Linked DNA regions of Mus musculus. The protein of the gene in region 4 binds, or shares a complex with, the protein of the main gene of each other region. Links are inferred from orthologs where the notes say so. Each region holds a gene or a part of one and is shown on either strand. Other genes may lie near its edges. The genes, in order: Cdk2ap2, Hdac1, Mta3, Chd5, Cdk2ap1, Mta2 and Hdac2.

The links.
Region 1: Chd5 (region 4) and Cdk2ap2 share a complex: the UniProt entries of both Homo sapiens proteins name them as parts of the nucleosome remodeling and deacetylase (NuRD) repressor complex. The link is inferred for Mus musculus from reciprocal best matches to the Homo sapiens genes CHD5 and CDK2AP2.
Region 2: Chd5 (region 4) and Hdac1 share a complex: the UniProt entries of both Homo sapiens proteins name them as parts of the nucleosome remodeling and deacetylase (NuRD) repressor complex. The link is inferred for Mus musculus from reciprocal best matches to the Homo sapiens genes CHD5 and HDAC1.
Region 3: Chd5 (region 4) and Mta3 share a complex: the UniProt entries of both Homo sapiens proteins name them as parts of the nucleosome remodeling and deacetylase (NuRD) repressor complex. The link is inferred for Mus musculus from reciprocal best matches to the Homo sapiens genes CHD5 and MTA3.
Region 5: Chd5 (region 4) and Cdk2ap1 share a complex: the UniProt entries of both Homo sapiens proteins name them as parts of the nucleosome remodeling and deacetylase (NuRD) repressor complex. The link is inferred for Mus musculus from reciprocal best matches to the Homo sapiens genes CHD5 and CDK2AP1.
Region 6: Chd5 (region 4) and Mta2 share a complex: the UniProt entries of both Homo sapiens proteins name them as parts of the nucleosome remodeling and deacetylase (NuRD) repressor complex. The link is inferred for Mus musculus from reciprocal best matches to the Homo sapiens genes CHD5 and MTA2.
Region 7: Chd5 (region 4) and Hdac2 share a complex: the UniProt entries of both Homo sapiens proteins name them as parts of the nucleosome remodeling and deacetylase (NuRD) repressor complex. The link is inferred for Mus musculus from reciprocal best matches to the Homo sapiens genes CHD5 and HDAC2.

What each region holds. Positions count from the first base shown.
Region 1 is NC_000085.6:4,095,869-4,099,517, reverse strand, and holds Cdk2ap2 (cyclin-dependent kinase 2-associated protein 2), read right to left. Parts: upstream 2,168-3,649; 5' UTR 2,093-2,167; coding exon 2,011-2,092; exon of another isoform or gene 1,807-2,010; coding exon of another isoform or gene 1,785-1,806; intron 1,702-1,784; coding exon 1,601-1,701; intron 1,514-1,600; coding exon 1,381-1,513; intron 1,021-1,380; coding exon 953-1,020; 3' UTR 501-952; downstream 1-500. UniProt on the Homo sapiens protein: Acts as a component of the histone deacetylase NuRD complex which participates in the remodeling of chromatin.
Region 2 is NC_000070.6:129,518,647-129,522,146, reverse strand, and holds part of Hdac1 (histone deacetylase 1), read left to right. Parts: intron 1-636; coding exon 637-729; intron 730-2,986; coding exon 2,987-3,095; intron 3,096-3,175; coding exon 3,176-3,316; intron 3,317-3,500. UniProt on the Homo sapiens protein: Histone deacetylase that catalyzes the deacetylation of lysine residues on the N-terminal part of the core histones (H2A, H2B, H3 and H4).
Region 3 is NC_000083.6:83,786,184-83,789,683, reverse strand, and holds part of Mta3 (metastasis-associated protein MTA3), read right to left. Parts: intron 767-3,500; coding exon of another isoform or gene 764-766; coding exon 642-763; intron 1-641. UniProt on the Homo sapiens protein: Acts as a component of the histone deacetylase NuRD complex which participates in the remodeling of chromatin.
Region 4 is NC_000070.6:152,337,191-152,341,453, reverse strand, and holds the start of Chd5 (chromodomain-helicase-DNA-binding protein 5), read right to left. Parts: upstream 2,801-4,263; 5' UTR 2,503-2,800; coding exon 2,424-2,502; intron 1-2,423. UniProt on the Homo sapiens protein: ATP-dependent chromatin-remodeling factor that binds DNA through histones and regulates gene transcription. May specifically recognize and bind trimethylated 'Lys-27' (H3K27me3) and non-methylated 'Lys-4' of histone H3.
Region 5 is NC_000071.6:124,351,829-124,355,889, forward strand, and holds the start of Cdk2ap1 (cyclin-dependent kinase 2-associated protein 1), read right to left. Parts: upstream 2,801-4,061; 5' UTR 2,544-2,800; coding exon 2,489-2,543; intron 1-2,488. UniProt on the Homo sapiens protein: Inhibitor of cyclin-dependent kinase CDK2. Also acts as a component of the histone deacetylase NuRD complex which participates in the remodeling of chromatin.
Region 6 is NC_000085.6:8,940,457-8,944,719, reverse strand, and holds the start of Mta2 (metastasis-associated protein MTA2), read right to left. Parts: upstream 2,801-4,263; 5' UTR 2,366-2,800; coding exon 2,338-2,365; exon of another isoform or gene 2,330-2,337; intron 2,248-2,329; exon of another isoform or gene 1,688-2,247; intron 1,256-1,687; coding exon 1,188-1,255; intron 708-1,187; coding exon 614-707; intron 1-613. Other genes in the region: Eml3 (echinoderm microtubule-associated protein-like 3), read right to left, coding at 3,387-3,590, 3,687-3,817, 4,043-4,141. UniProt on the Homo sapiens protein: May function as a transcriptional coregulator. Acts as a component of the histone deacetylase NuRD complex which participates in the remodeling of chromatin.
Region 7 is NC_000076.6:36,973,332-36,977,343, reverse strand, and holds the start of Hdac2 (histone deacetylase 2), read right to left. Parts: upstream 2,801-4,012; 5' UTR 2,593-2,800; coding exon 2,541-2,592; intron 2,473-2,540; exon of another isoform or gene 2,009-2,472; intron 1-2,008. UniProt on the Homo sapiens protein: Histone deacetylase that catalyzes the deacetylation of lysine residues on the N-terminal part of the core histones (H2A, H2B, H3 and H4).

The DNA.
Region 1 (3,649 bases), on a different chromosome or scaffold from region 4:
CCACACCCAGCCTTGTGGAAGTTGTCAGGACAGTGGATAGCAGCATCAAGCCAAGGTGCTGGGGGTGGGGGGGAAGGAGCCTCTAACTGCCTCCCTTAGGAGTCAGGGACCCGGTGTATTTAGAGCCTTCCAAGGATGGTTTTAAAGCGGAGCTGGTGTAGGGGCATTAGGACGTTCACGGGAGAGGCTTAAGTGAACTGGTATTTCCACCCTGCCAGGCATGCCTGCCAATCTACAGGAAGGGCCCTTTAGGCTCCGGCTGTCCAATAGTGCCTCCAGCTGTGAAGGCAGCCAAGCCCTACGCTGCCCCCTGGTGGCACCTCCTTATGCAGACATCATTGGTGTTCTGTCTGGCCTTCAGCTGCAAGGCGCAGAGCTGGAGGTAGCAATGGACAAGATGGGAAGGCAAAGCTCGGTTCAAGCGCCCTTCCCAGTTCCTGCTCTGCCCTTCCCCTCTGCCCACTCAGGCTTCCCCAGAGGAACCACACACAGAAAGGCTGAGAGAATGACTCCAAAGCATCTTTTATTTATACAAAAAGGACATATTTAGTAAAAGACACACCAAAAAAAGAGTCGGCTGTGGCCCCAGAGATGAGGCAGGAAGGTCTTCTGCACTCCTGTTGAAGAGGCAGGAGGTGGCCTGGGCTAAGAGTTAAGGAGTAAGTGCTGTGTGGTGGGGCCACAGAGAGGAGCAAGCTCCCGTCAGATCAGCACTGTGAGCAGGTCATGGAAGGGACTCCCAGTGGCCTCCCAGCACTCCCACAGAGGGAGGAGACCAGTTTGTACAGCCAACTGGACGAAGATCTGCTACCTGGTTCCTGGAGGGTGCCCACTAAGGGACACAGGACAGGAAGCCCAGGATAGGAAGCAACTTGGGGCGCGAAGGCCAGGGAGAAGCAGGCGCTCTGCAGTGGCCAGAAAGGTCCCGGCGAGGAGGTCAAGGTGCTTCCTGTTACGTGCGGGCATTGCGTTCTGTCTCTGCCAAGCACTCTCTGACTAGTGCCCGAGCGTGGATGATGCCTGGGGTGCGGTGAGGATGGGGAAGTAATAAACAGGGCCCCAGAAACAGTCCACAGCCACCCTTCAGAGCAGACACTCCCCCACCGCTCCATGGTTCAGCAAGAGCACCTCTAATCTAATGAGGATGGATGGGATTAAGGGTTGGCTAATCCGAGTTCCCAGGCACCTTCTTGGAAACAGACTCATTTGAAAATGGAAAAGTTCATTTAAAACCCCTCCTTAGGTACACGTTCTGTTCCAATCGAGGCTGGCCCAAATGTCCTGTCCTGACTCTAGATATCCTCCATCCTTACTGAACTGTCTTAAAGTTCAGTGTCTGTGTCCTGGGCAGAGCAAGGGCAGGCCTGTGGCTTCACTTACCTCTCTTCAGGCGCTCCATGGCACTCTTGCTACCAGCATAGGTGGGCCGGATCTCTTTGCCCATCTCCTCTATGACAGACAGCAGGTCCGTGTAGGTGCTCTGAGAGCCCTGGGAACCAGGTGGCTTCATCGCCTGTGTCAAAAGAAAATACAGACGTGATCTCAGACCCCGAGGGGATCTCCTGTCCTCAGCCATAAGCAAGCTCTTGGCCACACTCACCTGTACATACCCCATGGAGGGCGGACCAAAGTCGTTAAACAGCGGTCTGAAAGGTGCGGCAGCTCCTGGCACTGAGCCCGATGGCGATGGGACACTCCCGGCTGCAACGACACCAGCAAGAGGTCAGAGTGTGACAAGGGCCTCGTCACAGATTTCCAAGCCCAGGACTGTTCCCTTGACTAACCTCCAACGGCATGCTTCTTCATTCCACTCTGAACAACTTCGGAGACACACTCCTCCCCCCTGCGCTCCACCTACAAGCTCTACGTGACCACGCCCACTTCTCAGGCCAGCAAACTGAGGCTGAGCCAGGCTCGTCTAGCAGGCCCCGGATTGCAAAACTCGAGCGGTTTCTCTCCAAGACCTCGACTGCCCGGACAAGGCGAACAAGGATGGAGTTGGAGCCTCACCTGTAGGGACCGGGGTGCCTGGCCCGGGGGTGCTGGAGCCCGGGGTACTGCTGGGGGCGGGCGCGATAGGTTTGTAGGACATCCCAACTCCTCAGTGCGGCGGCCGCCAGCCGGCCGCTCCTCTGGGGTTGGCTGTCCGGCAGCTCAGCCGCACTCTGATTGGCAAGCGAGCTGCACGCCCCTGGTAAATAGAGCTCCGGCCGGAAGGGTGGGCGGGCACGATCGGTCCTCACTCTCGATTGGCGCGCTCAGCTGTCACTCGAGCCTCCTCATTGGCTGAATCTTGCCCCCGCAGGGCGCAACCGCTGCCGATTGGCCTCCACCTTCCGGACCTCGCACCTGTCTGCCCCGGATTGGGCGGTGACAGTCGTCCTCCTCAATTGGCGAGTTCGGGGCCCGGGGCCGGCGCGCTTTCAATCCGATTAGTCCCGAGGTCCAAGAGGCGGGGCCTCGGCAGCGGGCCAGTCTGGTCCCCGCGGTTTGCTCCGGTGGTGTGTGGCGGGCCGCCGAACACACTTCGTCCTCACCGCTTCGCGACTTCCCTCCGCTCAGAACTCCCAAGGCCACGGCTCCCACAGTGTGAGCACTCCGCCCTACCCCGAGCGTTTTACGTCACCTTTCACTGGTTCCGTGTCCCCCCCCCTTCGGCTGTGCGCATGTGCGCGCCTCAGGCCTGTATTTGTTCCCATGGCAACGGTTCCCTCACCAAAGTCATTACCAAGCTCCTTCTCTGGATTGGTTTGAATCTTCGGTCTAGGCAGGTGGGTCCAAGGCAGCCAACGACGCTGCTCGACACTGAACCCTAAGTCCCCTACTCTCTCCACAGACAATGATAGAGCATCATAGATCAAGAATTGCGTTAGGTCAAGTCAGGACCCTGGTCAAGACCCTTGGCTGGAATCTCAACACCTCATTAATGGTTTCCTCCTGGACTCTTTTTGGCGGGTGGGATGAGATTGAGACAAGGTCTCAAGTAGCCCAGTCAGAACTCGAACTCTCCGGGTAGGGGAGGGTGACCTTGAATTCCTGATGCTCTTGTCTCGGAAATGCTAAAGGATTACAGTCACACGCCAGTTTCTTGCCCTAATAGGTTTCCGTTTTCTCATGAAACATGAAGACAGTAATACCTGGAAAGTAAACTTGGAAGTGGGTAGAGAAATAGAGATGAGAGCCAGCCCCATATGGGTTGAAGCATGGTTGATTATTGTTCTGACGTCATTAATGAAACTCCCACCTGGGTCTGGCCATCTAGTTCCTATTTCCTTGAAATCAATTCACTTTAAAATTAAAATAAAACTATTTTATGTATACGAGTGTTTTGTCTGCATATATGTCTGCAGAACTGCTGCTTTAGCCCTCAACTCACTTTTTAAAAAAGCGACTGCAGAGATGGCTTAGCAGGTAAGAGGACAGGCTGCTCCTCCAGAGGACCCAGGTTAGAATTCTAAGCATTTACATAAAGTGCCTCAGAACCATCTGTAACTGCATTTCCAGGGGGCCCAATATCTCTTTCTGTTCTCAGTGGGCACCTAGCAAGCAGGTAGTACACAAACGTACAGTCAGAGAAAACACCCTAGACTTTTTTTTTTTTTTTTTTTCTGAGAAAGGGTCTCACTATCTAGCTCTAGCTAACCTGGAA
Region 2 (3,500 bases), about 23 Mb from region 4:
TCACAGCTGGGATGCATCACACTTTTATGTGACTTGCGTTTGGAGTGAGGGATTGCGGCTCCGAGGAGTCATCTTCCCCCTTAGCACTGTGACTGAAGGCAGTGGACTCGCCCCAAAACACTCCATGAAAGCCTGAATTTTACGTGGAACAGTTAATGGACTTGGGCCCCTCCTAGGGCTGCCCCATCTGTCAGCATGAATACAGTGAGATCGGTTTGCCCTGCCAGTCGCCCTTAGGTGGGAAATGCTACTAATTAAGTTGTTTGATACCACAAACATTCGTGTAAGTCACGTTTGCTGTTAGAAGTTAACTGGAAGAAGCTCTCTTCTGTGACTTGCCCTCCACGCTTTCTAGAGAGGACAGAATAAAGGTAGAGGAGTATATAGTAAAACTCTGGGCAGAGTTGAGCGAGGTGGGTTTTACTTCTGTGACCCACCTCCCGGCGTGCTCTTAACTAGGTGATAGCAGTTTTCTCTCGGGAAAATTGAGAGACTGGGAGTCGGGCTTCCTCTGGCCTTGCAGATCTCATGGGCTCAGCTTGTCTCACAGCACCGCTGTCTTTCTCCTTAGCCTTCCAGCCCCATCTTTGAATCTCCTTCTTTTTGTCTTTCAACTTGAATGTCCCCTTTGATTAGGACATTGGGGCTGGCAAAGGCAAGTACTATGCTGTGAACTACCCACTGCGAGACGGCATTGACGACGAATCCTATGAAGCCATCTTTAAGCCAGTAAGTGCCTTGGCTCACCCCTTGGGCTGTGTTGGGATTGATGAAGGGGACGATAGCAAAGCATCTGTTATGGCCGAGAGAGAGGTGGTTCCTCCAAGTGGCTACCTGGAAAGGAAGTGTTTACAACTTTGGCTGCTGTGTGGTATCAGGAAACAACCACATAATTTGTTGCTGCCGTCTGTCTGTGAGTCTGGCCTTTTGCTCACAGTACAGTAACTTGTAAGGTCTTTGTGGGAGGTAAATTTTATGAACCCAACAGTCTGTAGTCAGTTGTGTGACAAAACTTTTTCCAAGAGTGATGTAACACACATGTCTATTCACCACACATAGGGAACACACAACTGACCAAAATACAGATCCCACCAAAACCCAGCTTAGTGAGCCACTGAGGATCAAAAACTGGGGTTACGTACAGGAGTGGTGGTATATAGGAATAGAAATAGGTATATAGGTGGTACCTATAGGAATAGAAATGTCTTAAAGATAGCTGCATCACCAAAGCCCTCCCCACAAAAGCTCACTACCCAGCCTTCAGGCAGCTCAACAGGCTACAGAGGCATTTCCGGGAGCCTGAGTTGATCTGAGCCTTTTCCAGGCAGCTCAGCATTTTCTGTTTCTTCCAGGCAGCCTGTCTAGTCTGAAACTCTTTTTTCTTTTCTTTTCTTTTCTTTTCTTTTCTTTTCTTTTCTTTTCTTTTCTTTTCTTTTCTTTTCTTTCCTTTCCTTTCCTTTCCTTTTCTTTTCTTTTACAGCTTTTACTGCTTTGTCAGGGGAAGTCCTAGTGAATCTGTTCAGTTTCAGGGATTTCCTGAAGCTATGTTGAGTTGTGTACCTTCCTGCTAAGGAGCTTCCCTGCAGGATGGAATCAGAAACACAGCACTGATGTGTTTTTTCTTTTGTTGTTGTTCGTGACCATTTAATTTAAGCAGAATATTTGGCAAAGCAGAGATTACATGAGAGAAAGATGGGAGCAGGCAGGTCTGACAGTGATGGCAGCCCTCAGTGTTCTGTGTCCCACATCGCTGGAGTTGGCCACTCAGAGATGATTTGTTCTTTTCATTATGGTCTATTTTCTGAGCTTTTCATGGTGTTTTGGTTTGGTTTTTGGTTTTTCGAGACAGGGTCTCTCTGTTTAGCCCTGGCTGTCCTGGAACTCACTCTGTAGACCAGGCTGGCCTCGAACTCAGAAATCCGCCTGCCTCTGCCTCCCGAGTGGTGGGATTAAAGGTGTGCGCCACCACGCCCGGCTCGTTTTTCATGTTTCTTAAGCCTTTTACTACTCTCCACATTTTAAGAAATTGGGGTCTATTCTAGTCTTTATAGACTAGCTTGCCTGGAAAAGCCCCCAGCTGTTTATCCTGTCCAGAGACTGGAAAGGCAGTGTGGCATGTTGTACAGCACCTGCGGTTAGAGTCCTCAGCATCCTGACCAGAGCTTGCGTTTTTACAGGGGTGCCTGGGTCCGGGAGAAGGTAGGCTGAAGTGCAGGGGCTCTCACCACTGCAGTCCTGGCCTGGGACTCATTATAGACCAGACTGGCTTCTGACACACAGAGCGTCCTGTCTCTGCCTCCTGAATGCTGTGACTAAATTGTGCCACCATGCCCGGCCTTGAGCTGGATTGGTTAATAAGTTTTGTGGTCACACAAATGCCTGCATGCGCTTAGTAGTAAAGATGACAGAAGCTCCACGTACAGCCTCCTGAGGAACAGTGTGTGCTTAGGTTTGAGAATAAAATGTACAGAACTGGGCTGGTGAGATGGCTCAGTGGGTAAGAGCACCCGACTGCTCTTTCGAAGGTCCAGAGTTCAAATCCCAGCAACCACATGGTGGCTCACAACCATCCCTAACGAGATCTGACTCCCTCTTCTGGAGTGTCTGAAGACAGCTACAGTGTACTTACATATAATAAATAAATAAAATAAAAAAGTAAAAAAAAAAAAAAAATGTACAGAACTAGATGACCTATAGGGACAGAGGAGTGGAGCAGATGCAGCGAGAGGTTGGGAGGTCTCTGAAAGGAAGCAACTTGGGAGGTCGGCAGTTATAAAAAGGGAAAGAGGAGGGAGTTGACAGACCAATCAAAGCTCAGTTGTGCGAGTTGTGATAATCTTTACTTTAAAGTCAGAAACCTCTTGTCTACCACACAGTATCGGGGAAATAAAAGGAAAAAAAAAAAGCTGGACCTCTTTCTACCTCTGGACCTCACATGCTTTTTTTGAGATTGGTCATAACCAAGGTGTATCTTTTTATTTTTTAGGTCATGTCCAAAGTAATGGAGATGTTCCAGCCTAGTGCAGTGGTCTTACAGTGTGGCTCAGATTCCCTGTCTGGGGACCGGTTAGGTTGCTTCAATCTGACCATCAAAGGTGAGTCCAGGTAGCATGCACATAGGTGGACAGGGTCTGCCAGGTTCCCCTGTAAACCAACATCCCTTTTCCTTCCAAAGGACACGCCAAGTGTGTGGAGTTCGTGAAGAGTTTCAACTTGCCCATGCTGATGCTGGGAGGAGGTGGCTACACCATCCGGAATGTTGCTCGCTGCTGGACTTACGAAACAGCGGTGGCCCTGGACACAGAGATCCCTAATGGTATTAGCTCCAGGGCCAGGTTAGGCTGGGTGGGGGCTGGATGTCACCTGCCTTCATTTACAACTTTTCCATTTGCCCCTAGCCTTTCATACTTTCCACCGAGGTTCCTGCCTGTTATCTTGTGGCAGGCAAATCGTAGCCTCAGTTTTTCCGTAGTCTTGTGTTCTCCCCATGGTGTTGGTCA
Region 3 (3,500 bases), on a different chromosome or scaffold from region 4:
CAAGAACCTGACCCATAGCAACAATGACAGAGAGGAGAGCCTCTGCTGTTGTTTGAGATTTAAAACATACAATGTATCGGCTGCGGGCCAGACCATCTCCATAGCCCCATACAACAGGGGCACACATAAGAACCCTGCAAGCAGAGGTGTGCACAGTAAGGCCCGAGGCCAAAAGCAAATATCATAACCTGGCCTTTCCCCACCTGGTGCCCTGGGAGCTTGAGGGCTGTAAGCTCTTATCCCCACACCTGCCTCTTCGCTACAAGTAGCAGACACATTTAATTTGTCAGAGGACATTGAGGAACTCCAAGAGGGGATTTGGTATGTATCACAGCACAAAGTGAATATAACAGCATACAGTTCAAACAAACAAACAAACCCTGCCAGCAAGCATAGATCCACAGAAGAAAACCAGAGCCAATGCACACTCACCTTAGCAAGAGCGCTCAGCCAATATCCACTGATCCCAGCGTGGGCTTGTGTGTGGGGGTGGGGGTGGGGGGGGAGCGGACACCCGCTCACTGAAGAGACGCTGCCCTGTCTCTGAGCAGCAGGCATGCTTTCTAGAACCTTCTCAGTAACCCACCCCACAGCAGAGGACAGTTCCCACACTTAGCCAGGCCTGGCCTGAGCAGACTTACCGTAGCAGCTCTCGCAGGCTCGCCCTAGGAGGGCGCTCTGGGGCTGAAACTGGGTCCCCACAGCTCCATTCACAGTGCCAGCCTTGCCGTTGCTGCTGGAGATTTGGTTGGGATTTGGTTTGCTGCTTTCAATGAAATGTAAAGTGAGATGATAAAAACAATTTGTAGGACAAGGTCAAAAGCAGGCACCTCCTTACTAATTTCCCTTCCCTGAAATACGAACAGATACTTAATCCATTTAGTGAGGAAGACAGAGACTGGGAAAAGCAGGGTGTGAAGATGCACCCAAGTATGGGAGGCAGTGAAGGGAGACAATGAAAAGGAAGTATGGTGGGAGGTGCGAACAAGGATGCTGGGATGGACCCAGGACTTTGTACACTAACCTAAAAAAAAAAATAACAACAACCGCAAACACATACACCAAACAACAACCAAAAGAAAAAGAAAAAAAAAAACAAAACAAAACGAAATACATTGGCACACATGATTCCAGGAACTTACATAAGAGGGTATATTTGGTGCAATGATAAGAAAAAAGAAACAAAATAAAACCAAGGCACTCATTTTGCAAAACAGAGCTATAAAACAGCCAGAGTCCTGTCTCAGGCACTCTGCGGCGAAGGCATGGCTCCTGTGGACACCATACCGGTGCCAATTCTCCACAGCTCGCTGTACTTTTGAAAGACAGAAGCCCCTGGGCTTTATCTTCATCAGACATTTTCCTGACAAAGACAGCCTTTGATTGGGTGTTAAGGTAAGGGCAGTGCTGTGGGGCTGGAAGAGCCCTGGCTCCTCTCCTGCTTGGGATGACGCTGTGGCCGCTACAGTGCTCCCGAGGGGGTGAGGCTAGCTTTGCAGGGCCACCCGCCACACACAGCCAAGGAGCACCTGTCCCAAGCTCGAGATAAAAATTCACATTATGTTTTCTGAGGCAGATTAGCAATTGGATGAGAAAGCTTTTGAGTTCATGTTTTAGATTTGTTTTTCCCTCTTCTGTTTTAAGAAAACACTTTCAGGGGCTGGCAAGATGGCTCAGCGGGTAAGAACACTGACTGCTCTTCGGAAGGTCCTGAGTTCAAATCCCAGCAACCACATGGTGGCTCACAACCATCTGTAATGGGATCTGATGCCCTCTGCTGGTATGTCTGAAGTCAGCTACAGTGTACTTATGTATAATAATAAATAAATCTTTGAAAAAAAAAAAGAAAACACTTTTAGGAGAAAAAAAGACATAGGTCAGGAGGCTAAGTACAAACGCATCAGAGACGCTGGTAAAACTGAATGCAGACTGGCCAGCACAGCTCTAACTCTTTAAACACATAGGCTGCACATGTCAGGGCACTTACTATGTAAACAGAGCTGACAGTAGGCTAACCCCTGCTTAGAGCTGTGCCTACAGCTGCATGCACAGTGCACACCATTCAGAAATACAGACTCACTACATAGGAAACAAAGATCTGCCCCAGAAGAGCTTCCTGCTAGTGAACCTTTCATCTCTGTTACACTGTGAGACCCCTCTCCCCAGCTCAGGACACACACATTCACAAACAAACAAACAAACAAACAAACGAAACAGGTTTTGTTGTTTGTTTAGTATTTTTGGAACAAAAAGAAGAGAAGCGGGGCTGGCACTGTAAGCCTTTAATCACAGCCTCCAGACAGTGGCAGTGGCATCGCTGTGAGTTCAAGGACAGCCTGGTCTACAAAGTGAGTTCTAGGACAGCCAGGGTTATGGAGAGAGTGAGAGAGAGCGAGAGAGAGAGAGAGAGAGCGAGCGAGCAAGAAAGAGAGAGAGAGAGAGAGAGAGAGAGAGAGAGAGAGAGAGTCTCAAAAAAGAAAAGAAAGGAAGTAGTTCAGAGAAACTCAAGTTCCCAAAGAGGTGTTAACATTTCCAGTTGAAAAGGACTCTGCCATGGACTGGCTCAAACAATGCCCCTACTCACTTAAATCTAGTGAAACGTTTCCCAGAAATGTGGAAACTTGGCATTTAAATGCAGGACTAAAGATTTGAGTCTAAGAAGGGCCAGTGCTGGGCTGGAGAGACGGCCCAGTGGTTAAGCGCACTTGCTGTTCTTGCAGACGACCTGGGTTTGATTCCCAGCACCCACACAGTGGCTCACAACCGTTCACAACTCTGATTATTATGTGTAAATAGTAACTTGAGGCAGGTCCAGGGAGGATAATGACAGGTATAAAATGTTCCAGGTTGTGAGAGACCGTGGGAGGGTGTTTTAGAGGAAGGACAGTTTCACGGAATATTTTCATAAACATTTCTTGGTGCCCACAATGCAGTGGCTTTGTGTACTGGTCAGTGTGTTCAGTGTATGCTGCACTTACATTCCTTACTCCTTTTATGATGGAACAAACTCGCAGTGGCCTCACCTAATATTGCGCCACCTTCTCTGAGCTTGGTGACTCGCAGGAACAGTCACCTAACTGTGGACCTAACCTTGACAAGCCGAGGTCAGTCACCTCCCAAACAGCACCGCTTCCAAAGCTCTTCCTAGGTCAAGCTGGTGCCATCTCTCCTCCTGAGCACCCATAGCCAGTCTCCCCATATATGCCCTGCTGCTCCCTGGATCCAAATGAAACCTGTCATCTTCAAGACCATGACTCCTCTTTCAAATTTGTCCATTCTTCAAATCATGGGTACCCATACTGCACTGCCCTGCCCCTGGGGCTGGCTGACTACTCTCTTCACACCAGGCACACCATTTTTCTCCAGGCTCCTCTATTGTGTTCGGTCCTGTCCCAGCTCAGGACACCACTCGCTGTTCAGTGCAACTGCCTGCAGCCATGTGCACTCACACTTACTTCCTCAAAGACTCTTTTTGGGGGGGGGGCATAACAAAATATTTA
Region 4 (4,263 bases):
GTGAGGGACACTGAGGCAGAGGGGCTGAGGGGCTGGTCCCAACACCACCGGACTAACCAGAACATTGCTGGGACTTAAGGCCTCCTCCATCCATCCAAGTCCAAGTCCTCCCTCTGAGCAGCACACTCCTCTGGGAATCTGGCAGCTGCACACCTCTGAGCCTCCCTGACTCTGTTCCTCACAGCAGTCCCACCCACCCACCACAGAACTGGAGAGGGCTGGCCAAAGCAAAGCCCCCTGTAGGAAACAGTGCACAGACTCCCTCAAACCCAAGTCCAACTGCTGCTGGTTGGGCCTTAGTGTGAGGCTTCCGGAACACTGGCTCCTCCCATCTGGCCGGGGGGGCGGGGCTACGAGGTCACTTTCCTGGAGCTCCTCCCACCACGCGGAAGAGGGCCCTGAGAGGCAGCTAGCCTAGCGGGGAGGCAGCCAACACTGCTGACAGACTTGACTGGGCTAGCAGGTTCCCACATTCAGGGCACCAGAGATGCCCTAGAGACTCCTTCTCACGATTAGGCACCATTTCTCGGGTACCCTCCGTCCAGATTGCAGTTAGGGACTCCGCTTGGGGGTACTGACAGAGGGTCCAGAGCAAATAACCCCTCCAATGGGCCAGAGAGTCTGTGGTGAGGAGGAAAGCGGTGTCCCATCATGCAATGCAGCTGGAATCTACATAGACAGAACAAACTTGTGAGCCAAGGACAGGAGTCGGGTAAAGGTCAAAGCCAGGGCCCCGGGACAAGATGGCACCTGCTGGGTTCCATAGCAATACTATCAGGCATCAGGAGTTGGAGCCCAGTGAGGCTGTGTGGGGAGAAGCGGCAGTGGGAAGACCAGATGGACCAATGGGCTGGGTCTAAGAAAAGAAGGGTCATTGACCAATGGCTAGGAAGTCCTGGAGGGAGTCTATGGTTGGGGGACTGGGGGGGGGGGGACAGAAACTTAGACCAGAGACCTGGAAAGATGCTAGCCTAGGATCCTGGAGGCTCCGGAGGCAAAGTAGTCGGAGTGGTTGATGGACAGGGCTCAGAATTCCCAGCTAGAGAGACAGAAGCCAAGTGTCTCCTCTGTATGGCCTTGGAAGTGCTCCTGAAGGGACTTGATTGTCCCCAAGGGACAATACCCCTGCCTGCTCAGGAGGGGAAAGGCAGATTAGGCATAAGAACTGAACCAAGATCCAACCCCAACAGCCTTGTGTGTGCACCTTTCTGAGGACATCCAAGACCTCACCAAGCCCTAAACCCTGATGCAAGCAAGGCCAGGCTGGAAGAAGAAGGGGACACTGGCGGTGTAATGGAAGACCTAGAAATGGGCCTGTTGACCCACAGTCAGCTGCACATCGTCCCTGTCAATGCCACAAAAGGCCACGCCCCAATCACCACCAGGGATCTTTGAAGAGTCAGGCTGCTAAGTAGAAAACAGCCACAGGTTTCTCAACGCGCTTGACCGCCGCCTTCCTCTCAGAGAGAAAGGGTCTGGCTGCTTCAGCCTGGGCTTGAGCAGTCAGCCACTAGAAACCATACCCCTGCACACCTCACCCCGTGGAAGGCCTGGATGAAAGGGGAGGGTTTGAGCAGCAGGCTCCTGCGACAGCGTTAAATCCACTAAACAAACAAGCTGGCCAGCACAAGAGGTGCCTGAGGGCAGGGGGTGTGGCCCCTGGTGAGATGCTAGGCTGGGAGATGCTGCTCTCTCCTGGGTGCGAGTGTGTGAAATAGCCTCGTCCTCAGGGATGTAGATTCCTGGGAGAAGGAGGCCCTTCTGGCCTCTCACAAGTCCCTCAGAAGTCCAGGAGGAGCCATGGACTTGGGAAGCTAAGAAGTGATACCCCTCAGAAGGGAGGGAGGGCAGGTGACAGGGTGAGGCCCTGCCAGGACGGGCGCAGTTAACTGAAAAATCCTGCAAGGTAACCCCTGAGGCACAAACACGAAGGAGGCTGAATTCTGAGCCGCAGCTGGCAAGGGCAGGGGCGGTGGCCCTGGGGCGTCAGGCCCACAGACAGGGAAGCAGGGTGGGCTGGGAACCCGGCGGGCACCAGGGCGCAAAGAACCCAGGGCGGCCTGGGCAAAGTGCTGGGGAGCGACTGTCAGGCGCCGGGAGCCGAGCCCGCGCTCCCCGGCTCGGGCATCGCCAGCTCCCCACGCGCGGCCCGTCCTCGCCCCGCCCGCGGCGCGCGCTTCCCGCCGCCTTCAAGGGCACGCGGCTGACCCCGGCTCGCCGCGCCCCCTCCCGCTCCGCAGCCCGCGCAGGCCCCCACCACGGCTTTGCCCGGGGGTCCCAGTGCACCCCGCCCCGCGCGCCGCGCCCGGGAGCTCGCCCGGCCCCGCGCCCTTGGCTAGCGCGGCGCCAGCAGGGCGGGAGCGCAGCCCGCAGCCTCGCGCCCCTCCCGCGTCCCGGGCCAGCAGGTCCCCGCGCCCCCTCACCTGACATCTCCTCCTCGTTCTCCATCTCCTCCGCGAACAGCCGCGGCAGCTCCTCCTCGGTGCCCAGCGGGCCCCGCATGCCCGGCGCGGGGGGGGAAGGAAGGTGGGCGCCCCCCTCCCGCCGGGCGCGGTGCCAGCCTTAACCCGTGCGCTGCCGGACGGACCCGCGCGGCGGGCGAGGCGGTCTCGGCAAGAAGATGGCGGCCGCCGGCCCCCCCAGCCCCCCAAACCTCCACCCCCCCGTTTCGACCCCGCAAGCTCTAGGCCGCCTCTGCCCGCACCCGCCAAGCCCGGGCCGCTCCGCCCACCGCGCCCCGCAGCGCGAGTCCCGCAGCCGGCCGAGGGTGGCGGCGGCAGCGCCCGCGGCACGGCGGCACGGCGGGGGGGCGGCACACATGCCCGGATTGTGACGTCCAGTCTGGTTGCTGTGGCAACCCCATCCCATCGTTACGCCAGCGCGACTAGTTAACAGCCGAGAACAAGTTGGGGGGACTAGTCTTGGGCAGCTCAGTGAGCGCGCAGTGGGGGGGGGGGCGGGTGCCAGGAGCTGTCGAGGTGCCCGCCCGACCCGGGACACGACGGCCGAGCTGGCTGCGGGAGCTCGATAGCCCAGGCGCAGGGAGAATCCAAGTGGTACCCCCCTGCGCACACCCCAGACAGGGCCAGCGGTCGCCACCCTGCCCGCGAAGGCACTTGGGCCTGAGAGTCAGGATGGGTGGTGAGCCAGAAGCTGCCCACTAGCCTTTTACACAGCGGACTTACCCCACCTCGTTTTCAGGCTACCACGTTTCCAAACCCCTTTCAAAAGAGAAGTCCAAGAAAATGTGTCCCACACTTATGGGTCACTCTGGTGACCGTGGGCATAATTTATCCAGAAAAATCCATGGCTTCTCACCCACCCACCCACCCACCCACCCACCCCCCGCCCCCAACACTTGCCCTCTTTCCAAAATTGGTCTGTGTCCAGCTCAAACACATCCAGGTCCCTGGAGCTCTGTATGGTCTGTGCCCTGGACTGCCACTCAGGACACCTGTCGCCTAGCAGAAGGGTTGGCGACTGCCAGCCAGTCCTGCTTGTTAGAGGTGAAGCTGGATGCTGGAGCCCTGGGGAGCAAGACTAGAATTTTAAATGAGAGCGTTCAGCCTGGTGCAGCCAAGGTCTCACAGCAACTTTAAGAGCACAGAAGTTGTGGGGTCACCAGCTCTCCAATCCCACAAAGTCCTGTAAAGTCCGAGTCATCCTCATGTCGTGCTTCTGGCTACACGCCGAGGGAGTGTACCTCACTGCCACCAGCAGAGACAGGTCCTGCGTGACCTGAGAGGGTAGGAACACAGGCCTGAGCTGAGCATTCAGGCATTACAGACCCACAGCTTCTAGTGTCTAGAGCTGTCACCAGAAGGGATTTCCCGGTCTTAGCACCTTTGGGGAACCGTATGAATCTGTGCCGGTTTGAGTATCCTCATGACATGACCTCTTGACGTGGCTGCCCAGCCTCCCAAGATGGACAGGCAGGACACTAGGACTCTCCCTCTGTACCACAGATCACTTTTACACTTCCCTGGACAGTAAATGTCCCCTGCACAAGGCAGAAAGACCAGCTAGCAGGAGGAAGGTGGCTAAGGATCCAAATGGTTCCTGGGCTGTCTGCTGCCAGGGGGAGCCTCCGACTGCTGAGGCTTGAGTTGCATCCTCCCTGGGAGGGCTTGCTGGCTCTCTCCAGATCACTTGTCTCCATGACCACTAAGAGTCCAGGAAAGAAAATCCCAAACTCAATCGAATATGCCCACTCTCCATTACCAGCCCCTAAGACTTCTGTTGTTGAACATTAAGCCTTTTCAA
Region 5 (4,061 bases), on a different chromosome or scaffold from region 4:
TTTTCTCCAGGACTTGGGGGTCTGTCCCAGCAGTGCCACTTGGCTGTAGGACCAGCCAAGGCTCTTCCAGGCCTCAGTTTCTCTACTTGTTTGAGGCCATATTTCCCAATGGAAGGGTTAAAGGCTTTGGGAATGCCCTTAGAGGAGTGGGGATACAGAAAGAATGAGAAGTACCCCCCATACTGGTGGAGGACCTCAAGCCTATTTTCCACCACCCCGGAGGAGTGGAGATAAACCTGACTTTGCGTCAAAGCCAGCACCATATGCAGTATTAGGGAAGGTGTCTGTCTCCCCCACCCCCCGGGAGGGATTCAGGGTGGAAGGGGGCTCCTCCGCCCATCATGCCCCCTTCTTCCGGAAGACACCGGCACCTGGGCTGAAGGAGGCCAGGGAGGCGGTTCCACGTCAGCTCAGCCGGTGTGGAGCATCTCAGACAATGAGCGCAGTGTGAGAGAGCTGAGAGGGCTTGGCAGAGGCCAGGAAGCTCCTGGGGCCAGGCTCAGCTCCCCGCCCCCATGCCAGACAAAGAGCGGCCTGGGCCTGGGGAGCTGGCGGCCTTCCCGCCACTTGGGGCGCCCTGGGGGGGGGGGGCTCTCGGGCGGGGGAAGGCGGGGGCTTTGTCTAACTCCGCCACTGCCACTGCCGGCCAGGCCGCAGCTTGGCAACTCAGTGAGCAGGAGGCAGGCCTGGAGGGCGTGAGAGATGATGACAGGGAAGGCGGAGGAGCCACTGTGAGAGTCCATCTTGGATGCAGATGGCAGGGGAGAGAAGGGCTTTCTGCAAAGTAATACCGGCAAGCGGGCGGGCCCCCACCAAAATGCCGAACACCTGGAGACCCCCGCACGCATCCTGGCATTCCCCATTGGCAAAATAACTACAGCTGAATACAGGTGCTAGCAAGCCCAGAACAGGGCTTCAGAGTCCCAGGGGCGGTCTGCACTGGGACCCACACCCCAAAAGGTCCCCAGTGTAAGACACACGGGAAACTAGCCCAGATCAAGCCTACGTCTCTGGTCTCCCTAGGGCTGGCAACGCAACCTACTGCCCTTCCATCCCAAACACTGACCAAGAAGACTGAGAGGCAAAAATCATATCTGACGACAAATCCTGTCACCCAAAGGGAGTGAAACCATTTGAAAAGATACAGTGACTGCATGCTCTTGGGGGGGGGGGGTCTTTGTGCCCACGTGCTAGCGTTTCAACTCTCCCAGGCTGGCACCCTAAATCTCAACCTTTTCCAAACCCCAAAGAGCAGAGAAGTGGTTTAAAACACACGTCCAGAGCTTTTCCAGGTCCCTCTGAGGGTTTCTGGAGTTCTGGAATCAACATTTGGACACAAGACCTCCAACTTGGAAGTGCCAACGCGGGTGGGATTTTTAACACACAGCGACCATAACCAACTTCTACCCCCAACTCCTCCCAAAGGCCTTATCCCTCCTGGTCCCCACTACTTGGCATCTGTTGGGGCATCAGACTACTTGGGGTGGTCTGCTCACAGCCAAATGTCTGGGAGGAGAGGGTACTGGAATTGGACACAAAGCCAGTCACCTCTGGAAGTCAGTTTCACATCCCTATTCCGGGTTCCCTTGGGGTCCGGGGCTAGCCCCCAGCCACAGCCCAAAGCTGCCTGGGAACTTTGCAAGAGTTTCCTCGGCGGCGCCCAGGCCCGGAGGGGAAGGGAGACCAGGTCCACTTGGCTTGCGCAGCGCGGCCCTGCGGGGACGTCCCCACGTGGGAGATCTGAGATGGGGACCCCCGGGACCGGCGAGCCGCAGCATGCCGCCCACAGAACCCACGAGGCCGGGGCACTGCAACTTCTTCCAAGGGGTCTCCCGAGGGCCGGGGGAAGGAACCCGGGAGTCGCTCTCATCGCCAGGAAGCGGCCCCTGCCCACCGGGCCCGCCGCCCGGAACCCTGGCCAGATTCCCTCCCGGGCCCGCGGCCGCCCTGCACCCGGCTCGGCCCCAGCCTGTCCCGCTCCGCCGACCCTCCGAGCCCCGCTCCTTGCTCACTGCGTCGCCCGCCTCCCGCCGGCAGGGGCCCTCGCCGAGCCGCCCAAAAAGCCTAAGGGAAGGGGAAAGAAAAAGGGGGGGAGCTGGGGGGGGGGAGCCTTCCTCGCTCGGCTGCCCGCGTCCTCGCTTCCCCGCCATCCGCGGCCGCCCCGCCGCTCACACCGGGAGCCCCCGGCCGCTGCCCCGCCGAGCTCCGGGCGCACCGCGAACTTTGGCAGCGCAGCGGAGGCGGCGGAATCATGGCGGCGGCGGCGCGGCTGAGTCGGCGGCGGTGGCGTTCCCGCTGCCCCGGCCCGGGACACCTCCTTCCCTCCGCCCCGTTCCCTCGCGCCACCATCCTCGGCCAGCACGCCCGCCCAAGGCACCGCGCGCCTCCGGGGAGCCCCGGGCCGCGGCCCGGAGCGCGAGCCCCCAACTTGGCGACACTTGCGGCGCGGGGCGGCGCGCGCGGCCCGCGCTCGCTCGCTCTCACTCACCGGCGTTGAGGGCGGCGGCGGGCATGTGCGCGGTCAAGTTCGGCTTGTACGACATCCCCGCGGGCGGCGGGCGCGCCGGGCAGAGCCGGGCCAGGCCGCGAGCGCGCCGGCGAGGCCGAGGCCGAGGCCCGGGCCGGGCGGCCCCACGTCCCCGCAGCCGTCCGAGCGCCCGCCGGGAGCCCGCGCACTTTTTGTTGTCGCCGGCTCGGGCCGCGCCGGCAAATATGGCCGTCCCTCACCCTGCCGCCGCCGCCGCCGCCGCCGCCGCAGTAGATCACCCATACATCGGGCGCGCGGCGCAGGGGCGGCCGCAAACTTTGAGCCCAGCCGGTCGGTGCTGGGCCGGGGCCGGACCGGGAGGGGGCGGCGGGCGTCGAGGGGGCGGCTCCTCTCGCGGCCGCGCCCCGCGCTGCGCCGCCGCCCGCAACTTGCCAAAGTTTGGGGGGCTGCGGTCCCCGCGGCGCCCCCGCCGCGCCCCGGCCTCCCGCGCGCCGCTCATTGGCCCGCGCCTTCCTCTTTTCTTAAACAGCCAGGGAGGATGGAAGAAGTACTTTTTTTTTTCCTTCTTCTTCTTCTCAGTGTCTCTTGACTGTGGGGGCAGGGATGGAAAATTACCTGGAGAAAATGGTGGCGATTGGGGTGATTTGGTTTTGGTTTTTTTGGGTTTCTTTTTCTTTTTGGTTTTGGTTTTTTTTGTTGTTTTTTGTTTTTTTGTTTTTTTTTTAATTCACGGAAATCATTCCAGATGCCCACGTCTGGCTCTATCCCAGAATTAGAATAACCCATTCTTGACATTTATTTCGAGACGGGGAAAAAAAAAATGTCATGTCTCTGCTTGGATTAAGTGAGTTTGTTTTTTTTTTTTTTTAACCCTTTGGGAACCCAAGACGCCTTTGAGACTGACAAAAGCTGGATGGAGAGACAACGACACCTCCACTAGAAAATTCGCTCTTGCATCCGTCATGACGTTTGTCACACGAACTCTTTGGAATATTTCAACCGAGCACCTACTGTGTGCCCGACACGGTTTTTATAGGCTAAGGAGGCAAGAGTGAACTTGGCAAAGTTTCGACTCCCCGGAGTTTGCACTCCATTTTTTTTTTTTTTTTTGGACCCCTCTTCCCCTCCCCACCCCACCCTATCCCGCCCCACACACGCCCCCGCCCATCTCTAAACTGACTGAAACGTCACAACCAAACGTATTTGGGATGTGATGAATAACCTTCCAAAGGTACTATATTTTGGAGTTCTGCCTGCATAGTAATGCTCATCACATTACATAAAACGCCCACCTTTTTCTGTTGTTTTTAATCGCCATGGTTTGCAGGTTTTTTTTTTTTTTAATTAGTCATATTTAGACATCATCTGTGGATCTGGTGACAACGGCGTCAGCCTCTCCGCTAGAGAAAAAAAGGGGACCACCACCGGGGTCTTAATCCCCCCTTCTTTGGGACGAAAGGTGCAGAAGAGGGGACCTCCTCTTCCACCCTCCCCCACCACCACCAGCAGCACCCTTAGGCTCCTTCTGGCAAACTGCTTCCTGGTGACATTTTTCTCTTATAAAGAAACAAAT
Region 6 (4,263 bases), on a different chromosome or scaffold from region 4:
TACACAGAGAAACCCTGACAAAGAAAAAAAAAAAAAAAAAAGGAAAGAAAAAAGATAAAACTAAGTGAAAAAAAATTACAATATAAAGATCATAGAGAAAATGCAGACAAAGCAAAAATAAGTAAAAATGACACTAACTGGAATGGAGAGGAAAAATGGTGAAGGCAGGGAAGTCCAAGAGAACTGCTCCTAGCTTATCATCTCTATTAATGTTTTGGCATCGCCTCCAGACTACAGCATAAGCCTCTCTGTTATGCAGACTTCTCAAAACAGTATCTTCCTCTTCACCTTGGCCATCACTCACTAACCACTGTCCCAAAGTACCCAAAATGTCCCCGAGTGCCTGCTTCTCTAAAGCTCTTTTCATTTCCTATCTAAATATCTCTCCACTCACACACATAAGCCTCATTTTGGCTTTCCTTATCATGGTCTGCCCGCCCTGCTTCCAACCCCAACGTGTAACAACAGGCCTCCCTCCGCAGACCAGGCACTTCCCACCCCCCCCCAAACTCACACCCTCCCTTGGGCATGCTGCCAGGGGAAACACCTGCAGGAACATGTCTAGTCCTCAGATCCTGGGGAAGGGAGATGGGTAAGGAATGAAGACACTCACGAGCATTACTGTCAGCCAAGCTGTTGAGGCTACTAGAAATATCCCTTCGCCGGAAAAGACAGACAACCTTTGCTTCCACATTTCCATTTGCAGTCTAAAGGAGGGAGAAAAACCGAGAAGGAAAATTGGCCATTTGAAAGTGGAGATGCATGCCGGGTGTGGTGGTGCACGCCTTTAATCCCAGTACTCGGGAGGCAGAGGCAGACGGATTTCTGAGTTCAAGGCCAGCCTGGTCTACAAAATGAGTTCCAGGACAGCCAGGGCTACACAGAGAAACCCTGTCTCAAAACAAAACAAAACAACAACAACAACAAAAGAAAGTGGAGGTGCTGGGGGGAGGTGGGGGAGTGGAAGTGCGCAGAGTCAAAAGCAATATCTCCTTAAGGGTCTAAGTAGAAGAGCTAGAAAAACTTAGCAGTAAAGACTTAATACTCAAAGATAATTTCAGAACCAATGAAAAGGGTCTCCATGAGTTTAAGATCAGCCTGGTCTACACAGCAAGTTCCAGGCAGCCAAGGTTACATAATAGAGAGACCCTGTATCATTAAAAAAAAAAAAAACCAACTCCACTCACCTTATTGAGCTCCTCAATCCGTCTAACCAGGTAAGGATTGCTGGAGGAGTTCTCAAAATAGACGTAATCTGTAGGAGGTGGGGAAGAAACAAGAGGATCAGAGGAGAGGGCACCCAGATGAAAAAGTCGCTCTGTGTGGACCAAAATGAGACAAAATTCTAGATAGAGATGAAGTGGAGATGAGCAAGAGGAGAGAGTTAAGAAAATAAGTACTAGTCATTAGCTGGACAGTGGTGGCATATGCGTTTAATCCCAGCAGTCTGGGAGACCAAAGCAGGCTCTTGGTTCAAAGCCAGCCAAGTCTACAGCTCAAGTTCCAGGACAGCCAGGGTTACACAGAGAAACCTTGTCTCAAAAGAAACAAGGGGGAAACCTGCCTCAAAAAGGAAATGGGGGGTGGGGGAAGAGAAGAGAGAAAAAAAGAAAAAAAAAAAAAAAAAAAAGGAAGGAAGGAAAAGAGATATTATGGAAATACTTTGCCAGGCAGTGGTGTCACACACCTTTAATTCCAGCAGTCAGGAGGCAGAGGCAGGCGGATCTCTGAGTTCGAGGACAGCCTGGTCTACAGTATGAGTCCCAGGACAGCCAAGACTACACAGAGAATAAACCTTGTCTAAAAAGAAACAAGGAAAAAAGAAGAAAAAGGAAATGAGTTTTTACCCCCTACCCCTGCAACACCCAGTTCTAAAGTCAGATCTTCACTCAAAAGTGAGACTTAAGAAACAAGAACAAGAATTTCCCTGGAGTCCATACAACTTTGCACTCAAGTTGCATCCTTGTATAGGAGAATTGAGTAAACTGTTCAGGCCCCACCTTCGCGAACGCACAAGCCGCCACAGAAAAGAAAACCCCTGCGCGCCTAGCCCCTAGCGCGGCTGGCCGGACGGTGGGTCACTCGGGCCCCTTCCAAAGCCAAGGCCACTTCCAGCCCGGCGATCCAGTCACAGGTCTCAAGAGCACCGTTACGGCTGCAGGTAAGCCTCTGCGGTAGACTCTGCGCCCGATAGCGTCGCCGCCGCGGAACCATGGCTCTTGATTCCGGTTCCGGTCGGTGCCGCGGCCCACACGACCCCAGATGTGGCTCCCCCGCGCCTGCGGACACCGAGTCTCCCTGATCCCGGCCTCAGCCTCTTCCGCTCAGGGTACTCACCTCCCACCCGGTACATGTTAGCCGCCATGGCCGTTCCCGCCGCCGCCTCCGGCCACACAAAGAGGTCCCGGAGGCTCGCGGGGGCAAAGCTCAGCTCCAGACGAAGCCCCCAGCGCGTGGCTGACGCTTCGCGGAAGTGTCGATGGGGCCCGAGCAGCCGGCACCTCTGCTCGCTCAGCCGCCGCGGCTCATCACTGCCCGCGCGACGACGACACTGCTATAGCCTCACGCCGGGACACCGAGGCCAGCTCCGGTCTACTCGGCTTCTTCCGGAACGAGCTCGATTCCTGCCTGACCGGAGTGAGGTTCCAGCTCCTAGCGTCCTCACCGAGTCCCAGCAGACGTCGTGCGGTGCCAACCGCTGGCAAGGTTTGCCCTGCCCGCGTCCGGGTTCGCCTCCTTCCGGAACACCTTCGGCCGATCCGGAGAACAAGGCCCAGCGCTCGGCTCAGGTCGGAGAGCAAGACCCCGCAGATCGGCCACTTCCGGAAGGAACTCGGCTCCTTTCGCTCAGCCGCGGCCTCGCGCTCGGTTATTTCCGTTGCAGCTCGACCCCGCCCCTGAGGGCGGTGAGGAGCCGGAATTAACTCTTTGCACTATGGGTCCTAGCAGCTCCCCGGCAGTGGCGTCGAAAGGCGCGCGCGCGCCCTCACTCTTCTTGAGGTTATTTGCAAGCCGCTTTGCCTGTTATTTGCATATTTGGTCTGAACTCCCTTTTCTCTTCCCGCCCTGCACTTTTTTCTTTCATCCTAACACAACTGGGCCCCTGAGGGGACCCGCCGCACAAAAGCACCAGGCAGTTACTTTTTTCTTTTTATTGCCCCTCACCGAGCAGAGGGTGTCGGAGCTGGGTTGCCTGGCTCAGCCAGCAAGTCTGTTGTTATTTTGTGTGCAGTGGGGTGGTTAGCCCCTCCAGAAAAATGCGCAATTGGGAATGTATGAAGTCAAAGAAAAAGCCAGCACAGGAAAAGACTGTCCTTGGTCCTAGGGGTTTTGGCCAGGGTGGGGCCAGACCACAGTACCAGAGGGACAAGACCATCCAGCATCAATCACACGTCCAGGGAGGAGGCAGGGGACAGAGAGGGCGTTCTAGATGGTGTGGCAGGAGCGGGCCCAGAGCTCCCTGCCCCCAGCACTCGCCACTGAAAGATGCTAGCATCCTTGCCACCTAAGGAGACAAGGTATGAGTCGTCGTGCGTGAACCGGACACTAGTCACATGGCTGCCATGGCCTGAGTACATACGACTTGGCGCCTAGATGAGAGAAAAAAAAAAAAAAAACAACTGGTTGCAGCAATGGCAGGGTACCAAACCTACCCACCTGGGCCCAATGGTCCCCTGAAGCCTCACCTTGGCTCGAGCACATGGGTACTGAAAGAGGTGTACTTTGCAGAAGTCGTCTGCCACAGCCACCACCCGTTCATTGTGGGAGCGGCAAAGGGAGTTGATGTCTGTCCCATCAGAGCCATCAGGCCACACACCTAACACAACAGGTGGCCTGAGTCAGGCTGCTACCACAACCTAGAGTTGCAGTGTTTCAGGTCTTCAGGTTGCCACTGCGCTCCAGACAATCCCAAGGGGCCTCCTAGCCTGGATTTGCCACTATGACCCCCACCCCGAGGTGGCACACGCCCAGGATTCTGAGGGCAGAATGGGTTCTTCCTTGTTTCCCCAGCCCTCCTAACGGATTCCAGATCCTGGCTCACCATAGACGTGGAAGCCCAGCACACAGGTATAGGTAGCCCACTCCCGGTCTCTGCTCTCATAGCGGTTCCTCAGCAGTTTGCAGCCTCCAGCCACATCCCCTAGGTGGAAATCGCCTACTCAGCCGTCATTCTTCCCTCACTTGACGACATGAACTGATCATAGGCATAGCGTCCACTATGAACCCCACTGTGTGCTTCCCAAGTTCTCACTGACTTGGCTT
Region 7 (4,012 bases), on a different chromosome or scaffold from region 4:
AGAACAACTCTGATTTCTCTTGTGAGGTTTAGGGATAGTTCATACGCTCCTATCTGAAAGTTCACAGATCAGTGGCACAGAGACCCTACAAGTACAATTCTGAAGACTGCAGCACACACGGAGAAAACCATATTCAATCTTCAGAAGTATTCTTCACTAAGCACACAGTCTTAGCAGGAAAACACTCACATGAGTTGTCAAGAGGCTCTCTGGGTGCCTAGTGCCCCGTTAACCTCCTCCTTTCCTGATCTCCTCCCCTACCAACCAAGTTAAAAGCACTAACATAAGACTAGTATACTATTCGAGCCCCAATCCTACTGGCCGGGTTCTCCACCAACCCAACCCTGCATGCGTCTGAAAGTCATGCACTTTCTTGGTACAAAAGTCACTTTACTTGCTCCTCTTGTTTAGAATTTAATAAAGACAATTAAAGATTGCTGCTACCTTTATAAACTAACAAGAAGAGGGTTTCTGTAATCAAGTCAGACGTGAAGGGAATTCTCTGCAGAGAATTCTCTGTAGTCTAGCATGCTATGACATGTTAATTAGCTTAACTATGACACCAATTTATATATCTTCAATTTTTGTTAGCGTCCCCCAAATGCAAATAGTCAGAATAAAAATAAGTTAAGTACATTCTAAAAACAAGTCAAGTAAGAACCACAGATAGATAACTCAGCAGATTTCCACCATCAATTATACAGTTGGTCACTCACAACTAGGTAAAGCAGCTGCATGGGCATAAGTCGAAAATCACATGACTGAAAAATGCCTCCCTCCACACCTTATCTCCATGACCAATGTCTATCCCACTCCTCAGCAAAGGCTCATCCCTACGCATGAAGCCAGGAAGGAGCTGTTCAAGACAGAGAGTCCTCTCTGGTTCTCCATCAGGCCTGGTGAAAGTTAATGGGACTTAGAGTTCATCACTGATGACAGAAGCTGACAGCTGAAGAGACTGAGCTGTTCCCCAACAGCTCAACCTTTCCCCTGACTCTAACAAGAGCAGGACTTTACTTTAGAAAGGCTGTAATTTCCAATGGATCAGAGAATGCAGGTCAGGGCTTTGCTATGACCCCAACGTCATAATGTAACTCATGTTTAAACCGACATGCTCTCCCATCTCTGCTCTCCATGATGGTGTAACTTCAAATAAACATGCAATACAGTTTGAGTCCTCTCAAACTTCCAATTAAGCCAGGCCATGGTGGCACATATCTTTAATCCCAGGATCTGGGAGGCAGAGGCAGGTGGATCTCTATGAGTTAGAGCCTCATTTACACAGTGAGTTTCAGGACAGCCAGGTCAACTTAGAGCCTGTCTCAAAAAACAAAACAGCCTTTTCCATTTTGGCCTAGCTTTCTGTAAGGTTTTTGGTTTTCCAGCCAATGACAGGTGGCTATTTTATTTAAAGCTTGTATTAAAAGATTCTGTCAAACCAAGAAAATGCACGACTATTTTAACAAGTTTAAGTGTTTCATTCAGCCTAGTTCTCTAATCTACCTCTCCAAACACTGTGACTTCAATACAACTACAGAAAACGCTCCCAATTTCATATTGCTTTGTGGAGATCAAGCGTTCAATCAATGAGCTTCGAAAGTTCTGTCAAATTTCCTTATTACTTCTCTCAATGGTTTATCTATTGATGTCTTGGGTGAAATCTGTATAGGCAGGGCACCATTCCATTTGGTGTAACTGAACCCAGAGACTATTACTACTTATACTCCAAATTAGAAAATCCTTACAGTCACCTTGTACCGTTCACTGCATTGTGAATATTTAGTCCACTTCTCAAAGTTTCCTGCAGCAAGGTCTTCACCACAGTAGAAGAGTTCCTAAGCAAGATGCCGGTGTTCTTTCCTAACCCCCCAGAGCAGGGTATTATAGCAGATCGAACAAAGAGCAACAAAGAAGGGGGAGGTAATAACCTCCCATAGAGACATGCCAGGACCCATCAAACAAGAACAACTGCACGCTTCCTCTCTCCTACCACTTCCCAACGACCTACCTACTTCCAACTCAAAACCCCTTAATTGTCACCGAGGAAGTGCAGCCCTTCCATTTGAACCCTGAGAAAGTGGAGCTCGAAGAACGCGAACAAAGGCGAGGGATGTAGTCCACGCAAAACACCAGCGAGACAGCGCCGCTCTGCGAACTTGGCCACCGGCCAGCAGTAACTCCTCCGCAGCCCCACCCGGGTGCCGGGGTCCCGGGTGAGGCTGGAAGCGCAGCGCGGACAGATCGGGGGCGAGAAGGGGGGACCGGGAGAGCGGGGGAGGGGACAGGGACGTGGGGCGGAGCTCCAGGACGCCAGCTTTGTGCAGTCAGGCCCAGGGTGCCAACTGGGGTTCCTCGGGAGACCGGTCAGAGGCAGTGCACCCTAAACCTGCGTGTGCCCGAGAGGACCCGAGAGGAGCGAAGGCGGGCGTCCCCGAGACGCCACCGCTGGGTAGGCCGTGTTGGTGTCCCCGCGGGCTGCCACCCCCGACACCCCGCCGCGCCCTCCCCGCATCCCGGCTGCAGGCTCCTCGGCCACTCACCATCATAGTAGTAGCACACTTTCTTCTTGCCGCCTCCTTGACTGTACGCCATGGGCTCAGGCCGCCGCCTCCCGGCTGCGGCTCCTCCTCCGGCTGCTCCCGCCCGCCGCGGCCCGGCGGCCAGACAAGAGGGCTGACGGGGACGGCCGGTGCTGCAGCCCTCGGAGCAAGGGCAGCCCGGAGCGGGACGGCGGCGGGTGCCGGGAGGGCCGTAGGGCACAGAGCGGGATAGGCAGCGGCGCCGACGCGCGACACTCGGCAGGGGTAGGCCTCCGGGCGGCGGGGCTGCGAGGCGGGAGCGACCACTGCGGCTGCGCGGAGGGGGGCACCACAACTACGGTCGGGAGGGAGCGACCGGGACGGAGTGGACGCCACCGGCCAGGGCGACAGTAGTGTTTCTACGGGTAGTCACACACAGTCCGGAGGTGCGCACAAGCGGACTTTAGCCCCTTGCTCAGAGACCCGGACGCGCAGCAGTGAGGTTCACCCCTCGGTCTTACGCGCACTGGTTGCGCCTGGGCCGAGCCTGCGCACTCCGCGCCTGCTCAAACGAATCCCGGGCAGTCTAGACCCCTCCTCCAGGGCTCATGCCGCTCCCCTCCCCCACCGCCGCGACGCTCCGGCCCGAGCCCGCCACGTGCCGCGGGGACCCCGAGGGGCCTCGGCTTGAGAGCTCCCTAGGGCTGCCTCCCCCCACACACACACCCGCTACCTGGTGGTCCGATATTCCCACGTGTTTCAATTCTCTTGTTCTCCCTCATTGGCTCCTGATAACTACTCTTGAGTTACAGAGAGGTTAATGGCAGACTCCTTGTATCTCCTGGGTTTAATAAGCATTTCCAGGACTCGGTATAAGCACTGTTCCCAGCATCCATACCTGCTCGTAATAAACACCATTTAAAGCTGTCAAAAGTGCTGGGATGTACGTGCCATGTCCATCTCCTTATAGGTGTGGGCAAAAGAAGGAGTATAGTGCTCTCAATTGCTAAATAATAGTCATCTGAGGACCGAAGGGGTGTCGAACTTTTCAAGACTCCACGTGCTTTGTCTACTTTATCAGACTGGATGTGCTTCTAGCCAGACAATTCAAAAGAATTGGTTTAAATATTGGAGTCCCTGTGTTTAATAGCCTGGCGTTTATTGTGCACCTGTCTAAACCAACCTGCTTAAAGGATGCATAAAGGATGGAAGCTGACTGTCTAATGAAATACTCACACACCTGAACTGTTATTATTTAAAATTCCAGCTACATGCACACACTACTTCCTCCCTTAAGAGGAGGTGTTGAAGTAAGAACCATACTGAGTCACTAACAAAAATCATTATTTTTCTACTTTCGGATCCCCAGGACTCTTAATACATAAAGCACCAATCTTCCAGGCTTAACCCCAAGAGACTTAGAATTACTCCAAGGTACCCCTCACCACAACCACTTCTCTCCCAAGCCTACAGTTTTAACAAGACCCTGGGAG